Oryzias latipes: one gene and its partners. The protein of the gene in region 2 purifies or fractionates together with the protein of the main gene of each other region. This does not show direct contact. Links are inferred from orthologs where the notes say so. Each region holds a gene or a part of one and is shown on either strand. Other genes may lie near its edges. The genes, in order: sike1, stk26 and slmap.

Region 1 (4,323 bases), on a different chromosome or scaffold from region 2:
TCCAGCTTCCTCCCCAGTTCCCTTTCAGACATTCTGGATCCGTTAGCTTAAAACGACAACTGTCAAATATAGGGCTCATGCGGCGTTTAGGTTCTGTGGGAAATCCGAGCTTTCTGACGATTGTCTTTTTAAAATGTCACTTAAATGTGACAAATATTGTTACAACCAAACTAATGGAAATTATGAAAGTTGCGTGAAAAGGTGATTTGATAGGTTTTTAATAGCCTAAAAGCGTTTGCGCTGTACTTTTTCCGATCTCGCGATAGGTTTTTAGTAAGTTGACTCGATGCTGCCGCCCTGCGTTCGAAGAAGGGACAACACCTCAAATGCCTTGGAAAAACACTTCTTTTATTATTATCGTTTGATTTTGTTTTACACCAAACCATGAAGTTAAACTGAATTCCTGAGATGAAAACAGAACGTTTTTCATTCATACAAAAAAATTAAAAAACACCTACTGCACAAAATGCAACAGCACAAACCAAACTTCTGTTCATTCAAACAAACAGGTAAATATAATCAGAATAAACTGCTTGTTTTCCCCAAAGGTCCTCTCTGTTGTGAAACAGAGCGGTGCTTGGCTTTAATAGGAGGCAGTAGAGATTGTGTGAACATCAGGGGTCCAAAAAAACTATGACGATTAAATATATATCTTTGGCAAAAAAATACTTTAAATCTACTTTGACAGCACGTGTTAGAATCTAATAAATACACCTCAAAGAACAGCTAATTGAATGCCGTCCACAGTAACACTTTAATTATTATCTTAGCTGCAGACAAGATGATAGATCTTTTTTTTGTATTAAAGATGCCGTATGACTTTCTATAAATAAATCCATTTGAGGGAATAAATTCACACGCAGAGCTCGATGGAGCTCATGAAGTCGGTTCTGCTGCTTCAGGCTGGTGGGGTTCTTCTTTTTTTGACATTTTGATGCTTTCTTTGCTGATGACCAAAAGGTCCTGAAGCTCCTTGTTCTCAATCTGAAAGAGAGAAAAAAACCAAGAGACTGAATACTTTCCTCCCAACGGACTCCATCTACTACTTTTCTTCTTCACTAAAACAAAAGATTTAAATGTGTACATGTGATAAGATTTACACGTCTTTCACAATTAAAATGTTGTACTGCCTATATTGTTTGTTGTTCTAGATAAAAGAAGAGTATGAAATAAAGACAAATGCCTACATTCTCTGTATTAAAGTATTTTACATAGAACATTTGAAAAAAACCAAAGTCTTGTTAAAAACGCCAACCTGGGACTGAGTTGCCTAAACACAGCAGTTTTCATCATTCTTAGTTTTTTTAATGTATATAAAATGATTTTATAGGAAAAAAGAACATTTATGCAATAAAGCTGCAAGAATCAAACAAATATGTGATCTTTAGAATGTTTTACTGGACAGCTTCCTGTTTTTTAGAAAAAGACATTTCGTTCAAAACCTTCAGGCTACAACTTTATCTCTGGAAGTTTTTAAGAGAAAAAAAAAGGTTTCTGTAAGTTTTAAGTGACGCAGTGAAGTCAGATCTGGAGGTGAAATGGATGGATGGACCAAAACAAAAGGAGTTCCTTCTCAGATCTTTGGTTCTTGTGACAAACGTCTGCTGTTGTGAAGGTTTTCGTGGGCCCTCCTCCGTCCCCTCTGCTGCTTTTAATACTGCTTTAGGGGGAAGAAATGACCTCTGACCTCTTGGGGAAAGAGGCTCGATCGTCGGTACTCACCTCCAGCTGAGCCAGCCTCTCTCGAACGGAGCAGTAGTGCTGATCGTCCACCTGAACGGCTCTTCTCATCACCTGACCCATCTCGCATATCTGCTCCACCTTGTTCTGCACTTCCTGTAGAGACAAGTAAAAACGCCACGAGTTTTCTCCCAAAGCCGGCCCTCAAAGAGACGATGTCACGCTGCACAAAGATGGTGTGAAAGACGCTGTACTTTGGCGTAATCCTGGTGGAGGCTCAGAACCGGTTTGGTGTCCAGCTCCTTCTTTGCCATCATCAGCTGCAGCATCTGCTTGCGGTACCGACCCATGATGAGTTCCAGAGCGTACTGGTGTTCTTCAAGAGACAGCCATAATTCTGAGGAGAAAGTCCACCCAGAGGGTTAGAACAAACACGACCCACCGTGGAAACCGCCCGAACAGAATCCTACCTTTGTTCTCCTGCTGCAGATCCTTGATTTGAGTGTTTTCTTGGGTCAGAAGAACATGAGGTTTGTACTTTGTGAGCTCCCGTAGTTCTGCATTGTCTTCCAAGTGCTGTCAAACAAAATGTACTAACATGTTATTTACTAGCAAAAGTTATCCATTAAAAAATCCCACTGGTATTTTCAGCAGCTATGGCCGCCCAGCACCTGAACGTCTCATCCGCCGAGTCTTTACCTTCTCCGGAAGGGCATTTCCCACCTCCTTCATGTCCTGCACTCTGCGGCTGAGGGCCCCGGACTGCTCGATCAGACCCTCGGCGGCCGTGTCGTGCTCCTTCAGCCTCTCGAGGAGGGTCCGAGCGTCGCCCAACACTTTCTCCAAAGTGCAGGCCATTTACTGGAAAGCGTCAGGTCCGCGGGGCGACGCGATCGAGCCCCTGCTTCACGAGCGCGGTTCCAGCGAAACTCCCTCCAACTAAGTTGGCTCGAGCTCGGCGCGTAACCGCGGCGCTTCCGAGCACAAGCCTTGCGGGAACTTTCCCGCCTAACGCCTGCACTGTTTTCACACGGTATGGAGAAAACGGTCAAAACAGCAAACAAACGCTTTAAAAGTACCCCCACCTATCCGTCAAGCAGACGATACACTGCGATCAATGATGACGTCACTTCCGCGTTTTCCCCGCCCCCTCTTATGATGCATTCAAAGACAATAATGATAAGGAAAAATAATGATTATCAATGAAAACGAATTAATCTACAACAAAACGTACTAATTTCTTTGCAATCAGAATCGAATAAAGTATATGAAGAAAAAGCAGGAGAAGCCTTTGTTAGATCCAGAAGAAAATGGTTAGAACAAGGTGAAAAATGTACTAAATACTTTTTCAACTGAGAACAAAGAGATTTTGAAATTTCCTGTCTGCGTCAAATTAAAATTGGTAATTCAATAAGTGAAGATACAAAAAAGGTTTCTCAATATGTTGCAAAATTCTATCAGGAAACTTACACTAAAATTTGCTTTAGAGAAGAAGATATTGAACTATTTATCAACAATATTAAAGAAAAGATTGGAAAAGTAATTGAAACCTTTGAAAAGTCTTGTGACCAGAAAATTAAAACAGAGGAAGTTGAAAATTGTAGTAAATCTCTTAAAGATAATAAAAGTCCAGCAAATGAAGGACTAACAAGTGAGTTTTATAAATGTTTTATTGCCAAATTAACCTCTTTTCTAGCTAATTTATTTGAAGAAGTGTTAGAAATTGGTATATTGCCCCCAACTCTCAGACAAGGCATCATCAAACTCATCCCCAAACCACAAAAAGATAAATTATGCATAGAAAACTGGAGACCAATTAGTCTGTTAAACAATGATGCTAAAATATTTGCTCTCATTTTTACCAAAAGATTAAAACCAGGACTGGATAACATTATTGAAGAAGAATGATCTGCTTTCATGCCTGGTAGAAATATTGCCAACAATATCAGATTAATACTAGATATCTTCTTCCTCTTTCGGCTTCTCCCATCAGGGGTCGCCACAGCGAACGCGTGGTAAACAGGGCGTGGTAAATTTGGCAACGTTTTTATGCCGGATGCCCTTCCTGACGCAACCTTCTCAAACTGGGCTTAGGACCGGCACAGAGGTAGAGAAGGGAGCAGGGAGCAGCCTGGAGTCGAACCCTGGTTTCACGGACAGAAGGCGCCGCAAACACGAGCTAAACCGGCTCCCAGATTAATAGTAGAAATGATTGATTATAATGAACATATTAGAGATGATGGTTTTATCTTATTTGTTGACTTTTACGAGGCATTTGACATAATTAGTCACAGTTTTATGACTCCAGTTATAAAAGAATTTGGATTTGGTAAAAGATTTTTAAAAGTGATGGAGGGTCTGTACAATGGATGCAACAGCTCCATTAAAGTTGCACATGGCACAACTCCTAGATTTGACACAAACAGAGGAATATGGCAGGGATGTCCTCTTAGCCCTTTCCTCTTTTCACTAGTTGCTCAGGTTCTGGCCCTTCATATTTAAAAATGTCCATTTCGAGGTATTACAGCTTTGGGAAGAGAATTTAAACTCTCTCTGGACTACTAGTAATAAATAATGTTTAAATAAAAAAATAAAAGAGGTGTACTTCAAAATATTGCATTGTGTATATCCTGCCAAAAAAAC
Region 2 (3,648 bases):
CCATTTGTCTTTCAACTAAACTCTTATTTTGACGCTCACCTCAGTGAAGACCGGGGAGATGACCGTGCTCAGGCTGGCAGATTTACTCAGCTGCTCTGGAGTCTGAAGATAAAGAACATTTCTGCTTCAACCCGAATGCCCTAAAACCATCGGAGGATCAGGATGAAGGTTCCCGAGGAACCAGATACTGCGACTAACCGTCCCGTTGAGGACCATCCTGCCTTCTGTCTTCTTCTTCCGGACGGTGGTGAAGGACCACTCAGGATGCATGTCGTTTTCTTTGTTGCTGGACTCACTGCTCACACAAACAAACAGTTGTAGGCGCTGAACCGACATGCAGCAGCAGCAGAAGAAAGCCCTGAAGTCACCTGTCTGAGTCGTCGGAGCTGCTGCCGCTGTGACCTTCCTCCTTCCACCTCCTGTACCTGTCGATCAGCTCGCTCAGGTAAGACGTCTTTTTACAGTGCTTGGTGATGAACTTGTGCTTCAGCAGCTCTTTGGCGGTCGGCCGCTGCAGGACCGTAGAGTGAAGCCAAAGGAGGGGAATTAAAAAAAAAAAAAAAAAGAGGAAATGAGATTTTTTCAAAGTAAGAGGCAAAAAAATATAAAATGATTAAATGTTTGGCCTCAGGTTTATTGATCAAATTAAGGAGATTTAATAATTTCTTCCACTAGGTGGCAGCAAAACACAACAAAACTTTCATGGAGCGGCCTTACGTTTACAGGAGTGCAAAGTAACTAAAAATAAAGTTTCAAAATGTTCCATTTGGTACCAAAGCTCCACATGAAACAAAACTATTTCTGTTTTTTCTTTAATAATAAATGATTAAGTTGTTCTTATAGTTACTTTAAAAACTTCAAAACACCTAAAAATCTTTTTTATCACAACAAAAAGCTGGATATGACTTTAGAAGACGTACAGATATAAATTTGTATCAAGACAAAAGCACGATTTGACCTCCTTAGGATGGAAAAATCATCTATTTGATTGAAAGTAACTTGGATGCGTACAAAGGCCGGGTCTTTGTTGAGGCACGCCTCGGTGAACTCTTTGAAGCTCTTGGAGAAGTCTCCGCTCAGCGTGGGAGGAGGAGACTTGGGGATGTGGAAGAGGACGCGCATGGGATGCATGTCTGAGTTTGGCGGTTCCCCTTTGGCGAGCTCGATGGCCGTGATGCCCAAAGACCAAATGTCTGCCTGTAGAGACACACAGGAGCAGAAAACATCATCATCAGTTTGAAAACCGACCATTCGCTGACGATGCGACTTTAAATGTGTGTTGATCAGACATGAGTCTGTCAGTCAGTCAGATTATATTGGATCAGATTTTTAAAAATGGCAAGACCTGTATGGATTTTAAACATTTTTAACTAGCTATTTATACGCCAAAATGTAGTTCAGTGTCCGACTTTTCCACTTACACCCCCAATCAAGAGATGGCAGCTCAGCACACCAAGACTCTTTCAGCAGCTCAGCACCAGAACCATCTCATGCTAGCATGCTAGCCTAGCGAACATATCGGGTTGTCGGAATTGAATTTTTTGTTTTTAAACTTTACTAAAAAGTTTGGGAGATAGCGTAGTCACAATTATGTTTTAGCGGTATCCATCGTTTTTTATGCATTGCAAACAAGGTTAGGAGTTACAGATATTGTGAACCTGCTAACTCTATGCTATGCTTTTTTAAAAGTGTTTTTATACAAGGTTTGGGGTTAGCGTGGTCACAGTTTGTTTCGGCCTTAGACTGTTACGAACAACTAGCATAGTCAGAGAAACAAACTTTATTTTAGAAGTATTGTTTCTTACGTGTTGCAAATGAGGTTAGGAGTTACAGGCCTTGTGACTACGCTAACGCTTCTGACGCAGCCAACCCGTAGCAGTTTTGGACCGCGTGTTACTAACAAAGTTAGGGGGTTAGCGTAGTCACAGTAGTGCTGTGACGGTGTGGGATTTTTTACCACCGCTGTGATGAAGCAGCAAGAGTCATGGTGTCAGGACCCCCATAATATGTATAATGGGCTGCCCCGCCCTCCCTTGCAGTGGAGGATGAAGACTTTTTCTACACACAGGACTAGCAGAAAAAGTAAATTATCAGCAAAGATGAATGTGTTTAATGTGTTTATTATAGTTCAAATCACGCGCCATATGCAGAACTTTCAAATTAAAAAAACGTGCAGTGATGCGGTTATCGTCACAGCCCTAAGTCACAGTAACGTTTATTTTAGCAGATTCTCCTAACGAGCTTAGAAGTTACAGTCGTTGTGAATACCCTGACCCAGCTAGCGCTTCTAACCTGGCTACGTGTTTGTTATACCTGTAGCGTGTTACAAACATGTTCTAGAGTTCCTGTAAACATCAGTCTGACTGACTGGCAGATTCATGCCTGACTCTGGTCTCGGTTAATGTGCCGTATAGTCCAATGTGCCGTATGTTTGAAAACAGACCATTCGTTGACGATGCGCCTTTAAATCCGTGTTGATCAAATATTTCATAAATGATTCCAAGAAAAGCAGGAAATCCCCAGAGTCTTGCCAACACACAACCCTAGAGGAAGCAACTCTGAAAAGGTTTCATCAACGCCTAAGAGTCCAGAACAATGAGTCTTCTCAACTCTGACAGTTGTGTAGCGGTGGCACCCTTCACAAACCCTCACCACACACACCGACAGACACACACACCCACACACACACAGACAGACAGTATGGTGCTGAGTCACAGGACGCTCGGTTACTGCTAGAACGTCAACTCTGCAGATCCATTACAGTTACACACCGACCATATGGCAGCATGTGGCTACACACAAACGCACCGCTTGTCTTTTGAACGCGATGAATGAAAATAATGTGTATTTAATCATCCTTTGCTTAGAACAGGAGATCAGAATCAACTTAACGTATAAAAACAAAGATTTGGAAAGAAAGAAAGAAAGAAATGATATTGACCACTTTAAATAACGTCACACTCATAGCTTTTTCTGTCAACTTCCTGGTTAACTTCAGCAGTAAACAAAACAAACGTAAATGTTTTGGATCGTTTAACAAAAAAAAAAACGGAAAATGTTTTTCCATCCTCAAACTTTTACCGACTGGAGTTCAAGTGGGTCGATGCTAAGAAGAAAGTAAATGAAGACGCAGCAACACCTCAATAAAAAGGCAACAAGTAGGAAACATCGACTGTCCTTTCATCTAAACTACAACAGTCTTTCCAACAGACCTGTTTTATAAGCTGACTTTCTATTTTTAGAAGAAAAACCAAAAAACTCCAACATTTTAGATTTTGCAGACACGTTCATGCTAGCAGAAAGTCTCATTAGAAATATTTTTCATTTTGTATTTTTTAATTGTTGACTATGATTAACCAAAATCCGTTTTTCAGAACCTATGTCAGTAAACTGAACTGTAGTCTTTTTTTTTTTTATTTACGAAAAAAACTCGATAGTTTTACTTTGAAAAATGAGGACGTTCACTGACACTTTACTTTGGAAATCCATCAACTTCCGGTGACAGTAGCGCATTTCGTTTGTTTACTTTATATACTTAATATAAAACATTCTGCTGCAATTTTTCTGAAGTACATTACTTTTTTTTACCACACCCCACTATGTGTAAAAATATTCACGACTCAGCGATCTGCACTGAATTAATCAGGG
Region 3 (4,163 bases), on a different chromosome or scaffold from region 2:
TGTGTGGTCCCTATCAATGATTTGCTCTCAGTTTTCAGCACAACAGGGATGTTTTCTGGAAGCATCAGCAGAATTTGACCTCCTTCCACATCCCAGTCTCACAGCGAGTCACCTGAACAAAATCCTTTCATGGAAATGACTGCTGTCATAAGACTGTCAGGGATTTCCATAGCTATGATAACGCTGTCAGAAACATAAAAAACACTAAAAAGTGATGATTGTTCTCACCACTCAGAGGACATGTGAACATCTCATGAAGTATTTCGGGTTCTTCTTCCCTCAGAACAAACAAAAATCAAACATTTTTGATGGTACAAAGTACAAGCATGGAGAAAAGAAGAGAATGAAGCAGTAATAAAGGAAAACCTCACAGATGCAGGATAAGTCCATGTGTTTGAAATAAACTCCCTGAGTCATTTGGAAAGCTTTTACAAAATCAGCAGATTTTCCTAGATGCTTTGTGGATTGACAGTCAGTACGCGGCTGCAGGTTAGGGTTGGCAGTTGTATGTACACCGCAAAATCTTAAATGCTGAATGGCGTAAACTTATATTTCACTTTACAGCCTTAAGAACGGACAGAATTGAGGTGAAACGTCTTCCAACTTTAAAACCTAAGTCCAGATGACCCCTAAACCTCCTACTAAGATGAAATCAACCTGGATGAATAAGAGTCTTCATCGACAACCTTAAGAATGTAAGAAGACCCTTGTGTTGAGAAAAAAAATTATAACGTTTTCAAAAGCAAAATAATCGTAGTTTAAGAAAACATGTCTAGATTTTTTTTCTTGGTTAGACCATTTTTTTCTTACCCCTATGGCTTTTTTTTATTGCTAATTTAAAGAGAATTTGCCCATGGATTAAGAAATGTGGACCTGTTTTTGCAGTATGACATTCCTCATTCTGTAGGCTGTTTGAGTGTCAAATGTACATAAACCTTTTAGTAGGTGTTTATTAATTGCTTGTTTTTGATACTTTAAATGTATTAGTAGTAAATTATCAAGTGTTTTTCATGACTTAATTCACTGTTTATTATTTGTAAATTAACTATGATGTGATTACTTAAAAAAAGAAATACTGCATTGAATAGCATCTCCAGAATGGTTGTTGTAGAAAACAAATCCAACTTCAAATTCAAAAGAAAAAAGTTTCTGGAGCCAGACTGTAGGTTGATTTACTTGATTACATCGTTGAGGTTACTGAGCGCGTTCAACATGATTACGTATTAGTGAGTGTCTGTGCTCCCCGGCCCTCCATTGGACAGAGAGGATGGTTTGATCAATGTGTTGCTGTGATCTGGACAGTGAACGCACCACGCCTGTACTTTCAGTATGGCGGCTCGGACTCACGGAGGAGAACAACTTCTTCCAGGTTCCTTCCACAAGACTGTCGGACGACGACGGCTGTAACGCGCGCCCGCTGCGGAAAACGCGAGCCGGGCTACCGTAGACGACGGGCGGTGTACGTAACGACCTTCGCGGACATTTCTTCTGGAATTTAATCGCCTCGGTGTGATGCGCCAGGAGCCGCAGTCTAGAAACTCCCGATTTTTTTTCCGCTCCGCCTGTCAGTTAGCCGGCTAGCTGCGGGCTAGCTCACCTTGATGCTAACGCTCGGTTGCGGGACTCTTAAATTTGAAAAAAGCCCGAAAGCTTTCGGGTTTTGCCCGCTTTATGGGACAGTGATGGCGCATCGCGTCCCCCCGGTAAGCGAACTCGTTGAGGAGGGCAGGGAGAGAGGATATGAGAACCCAAGTGATAACTTTGTCGGTACTCATTAGCCTAGCTTAGCTCGCAGGTCTACTGCTGGCCGTTAGTTAGCGCTTCCCCCTGTCCACTCGCTAGCTTGTTAGCATTTTAATGCACAACACTGTTCGTAAGTCTCCTCCTTGTCCCGACTGAGACTTGAGTTTTGTAGCAGTTGTCGAGACCGCGTGGATGCTTCATGTTGACCGGTGATGTTTCGTAACTCAGGAGTTGCTTCTAGCTAGGTTTCAATCATTAGCGATCAGTTAGGTGTTCTGTTTGGGAGGGGAGGGGGGGCAAACGTGACGTTTGTGGGCTCGATAAGGTTCTCCGTCCCAGGTCAACTGGGTCATGGATTCCGACAAACTGTCTGTAACAAACGGAGAGGAGACAACGGACATCTAACCTTTGAGTGTTTGTCTGGAGTGTAGTGTTCACGTGAGTGTTTGTATGTGTGCGCGCGCGCTCATTAGCTCAAAGGCGCGCGCAGATATCACCGCGGTTGACGTACAGCTGGGATAGACAGTGACCTGTTGCTGGTTCGCGGGGGAAAAGATCCGCGTCTGCAGGCCGCCGCTTCCTCTCCACGGCTCCGTTTGATGGACGTGAGTGGCTGTTTGCCAGCCCGTCCGAGCTCCACTCAGTCATGTTGGTCTTGACATATGGCACCTTGGGCTGTACATAGTATTGGCTGTCAAATATAAGTCGTAATGTAGCTTCAGTGGACAGCCAGCGGAAGGAATGTCTTGTCTTTTTATACACGTGGATTTGTTTTTTTAATTTAAACCTTTTTTGGAGGGGGTCTTACTTCAAAGTGGTGAAGCTGTGAGACCCAAGTGGACAATGCATATTAGCCAGTGCCTACAGGAATAAAGGACTCAGCATTCTGCCTACGTATAGGCCACCTATATTTTGGATTATTTGTTAGGGATTCCCACAACAACCTGCCAACCTGGATCAAGAAAACCTGTCCGTTGCATCTGGTTGGAGCAACACTCTAAAGCTAAAATCAATGCCTTCAGCGCTGGCTGTGTTCGCCTGCCGACCCAACTCGCACCCATTCCAGGACCGGCATGTGTACCTGGATGAGCCGGTCAAAATCGGCAGGTCGGTGGCTCGGTGCCGCCCTGCCCAGAACAATGCCACCTTCGACTGCAAGGTGCTGTCCAGAAATCATGCCCTTATTTGGTTTGACCACAAGACTGGCAAGGTGAGAACCTCCCGCTTCTGCGTAACCTTTACCAGCTGACTGATCACATGTTTCCACAGGTCAAAATGTTCCAGTTCTATGAAATGGTTTTGTTTTTTTGTACAACCCATGCTTGACCTGCATAAATGGGTGGTTTGATGTCCTGTATTGGGGACAAGCTGAGGTTTTCCACATGTCTCAGGTGTGTCTGACGCTACATTTCAGAGGTGAGACAAAGAAATGCGGTCCGTGTTTGGATTGTCAGTTGGGTGGGCTGTCGTCACAAATATGTGCTTTTTCTTAAGCTGCTTGAAACGCCGTTGATGAGTTTTTAACATGCATTTTGACTACATGCTGGATCACAGCAGAACTCAGACACTTTGCTCTCCTGGGAAAACCAACATTGCCTTCAATGTCGATGGGAGTTGCCAGATCTAAAGTTAAAACCTTACACGTCAGCACACCTTAGGCAGGAAAGGTGCAACCAAGGAGAACATACCTGAGTGTCTTTAGGGTATTTATTAAATCCTGTTTAGTACCTACAAGTCTGACTCAGTTATTGTGTTGTAAATGCATGCAAATAAAGAAACGAGCAAATCCTTGACTTGATGATGACAAACTGAAACGTTTAACTTTGTCAAATAAAATGTAAATCTCTTATTTCATGTAGGATTTATATTTTAAAGTGGTGTATGTGTGGACATATCAAAAGCTAAGTACCACAATAGCACAGATGTGTCAACTTAAATCCAATTTTTTATTAAATCTATAATTCTGATTGTTGAGCTTATTTGACATCCTAAATGTGGTTAAGTACACAGAATGTAAAATAATTAGTTGGGAGTTAGAGGCTCCATCTCTCCAGTTCCCAGCATCCATCAGTAAAGGTCCCACTTCTTTAGAAGTGTTTTGTCTGACCTGTAGTGAGCTCCTACATGGTGATACTGCTCCAATGACATCCATCAGAAGAGTTACAAATATAGAAAAATTAAATCCACAGTGAATTTTAATGAAGTTTTATTTTAAGGGGGCGAATAAGATCTCATCAGCACTCGTGTTCCTTTTGGATTCTCGGCTTTATGCACATTTTGGTTGACTAAATTGACTGCATAGAAATGAAGTCTACGTTAGCGGACTGTTGTTGACGGTGAGCAGGTCTAAGTTTCAATCTGTGCAGTGCACTCCCTCTGGTGTGTTGAGCCTCTGGAGAACAGGTTGAACAGGCTGAGAC

The links.
Region 1: the proteins of stk26 (region 2) and sike1 purify together in Homo sapiens (affinity purification with mass spectrometry; 4 studies listed by BioGRID and IntAct, with this or other methods). This does not show direct contact. The link is inferred for Oryzias latipes from reciprocal best matches to the Homo sapiens genes STK26 and SIKE1.
Region 3: the proteins of stk26 (region 2) and slmap purify together in Homo sapiens (affinity purification with mass spectrometry; 5 studies listed by BioGRID and IntAct, with this or other methods). This does not show direct contact. The link is inferred for Oryzias latipes from reciprocal best matches to the Homo sapiens genes STK26 and SLMAP.

Annotation. Positions count from the first base shown.
Region 1 is NC_019865.2:1,582,066-1,586,388, reverse strand, and holds the start of sike1 (suppressor of IKBKE 1), read right to left. Parts: upstream 2,810-4,323; 5' UTR 2,539-2,809; coding exon 2,380-2,538; intron 2,257-2,379; coding exon 2,151-2,256; intron 2,078-2,150; coding exon 1,935-2,077; intron 1,837-1,934; coding exon 1,723-1,836; intron 985-1,722; coding exon 877-984; 3' UTR 1-876.
Region 2 is NC_019876.2:4,690,823-4,694,470, forward strand, and holds part of stk26 (serine/threonine-protein kinase 26), read right to left. Parts: intron 1,198-3,648; coding exon 1,012-1,197; intron 512-1,011; coding exon 369-511; intron 296-368; coding exon 199-295; intron 103-198; coding exon 40-102; intron 1-39. UniProt on the Homo sapiens protein: Serine/threonine-protein kinase that acts as a mediator of cell growth. Modulates apoptosis. In association with STK24 negatively regulates Golgi reorientation in polarized cell migration upon RHO activation.
Region 3 is NC_019863.2:32,540,472-32,544,634, reverse strand, and holds the start of slmap (sarcolemmal membrane-associated protein), read left to right. Parts: upstream 1-1,295; 5' UTR 1,296-2,755; coding exon 2,756-2,953; intron 2,954-4,163. UniProt on the Homo sapiens protein: Associates with the striatin-interacting phosphatase and kinase (STRIPAK) core complex, forming the extended (SIKE1:SLMAP)STRIPAK complex.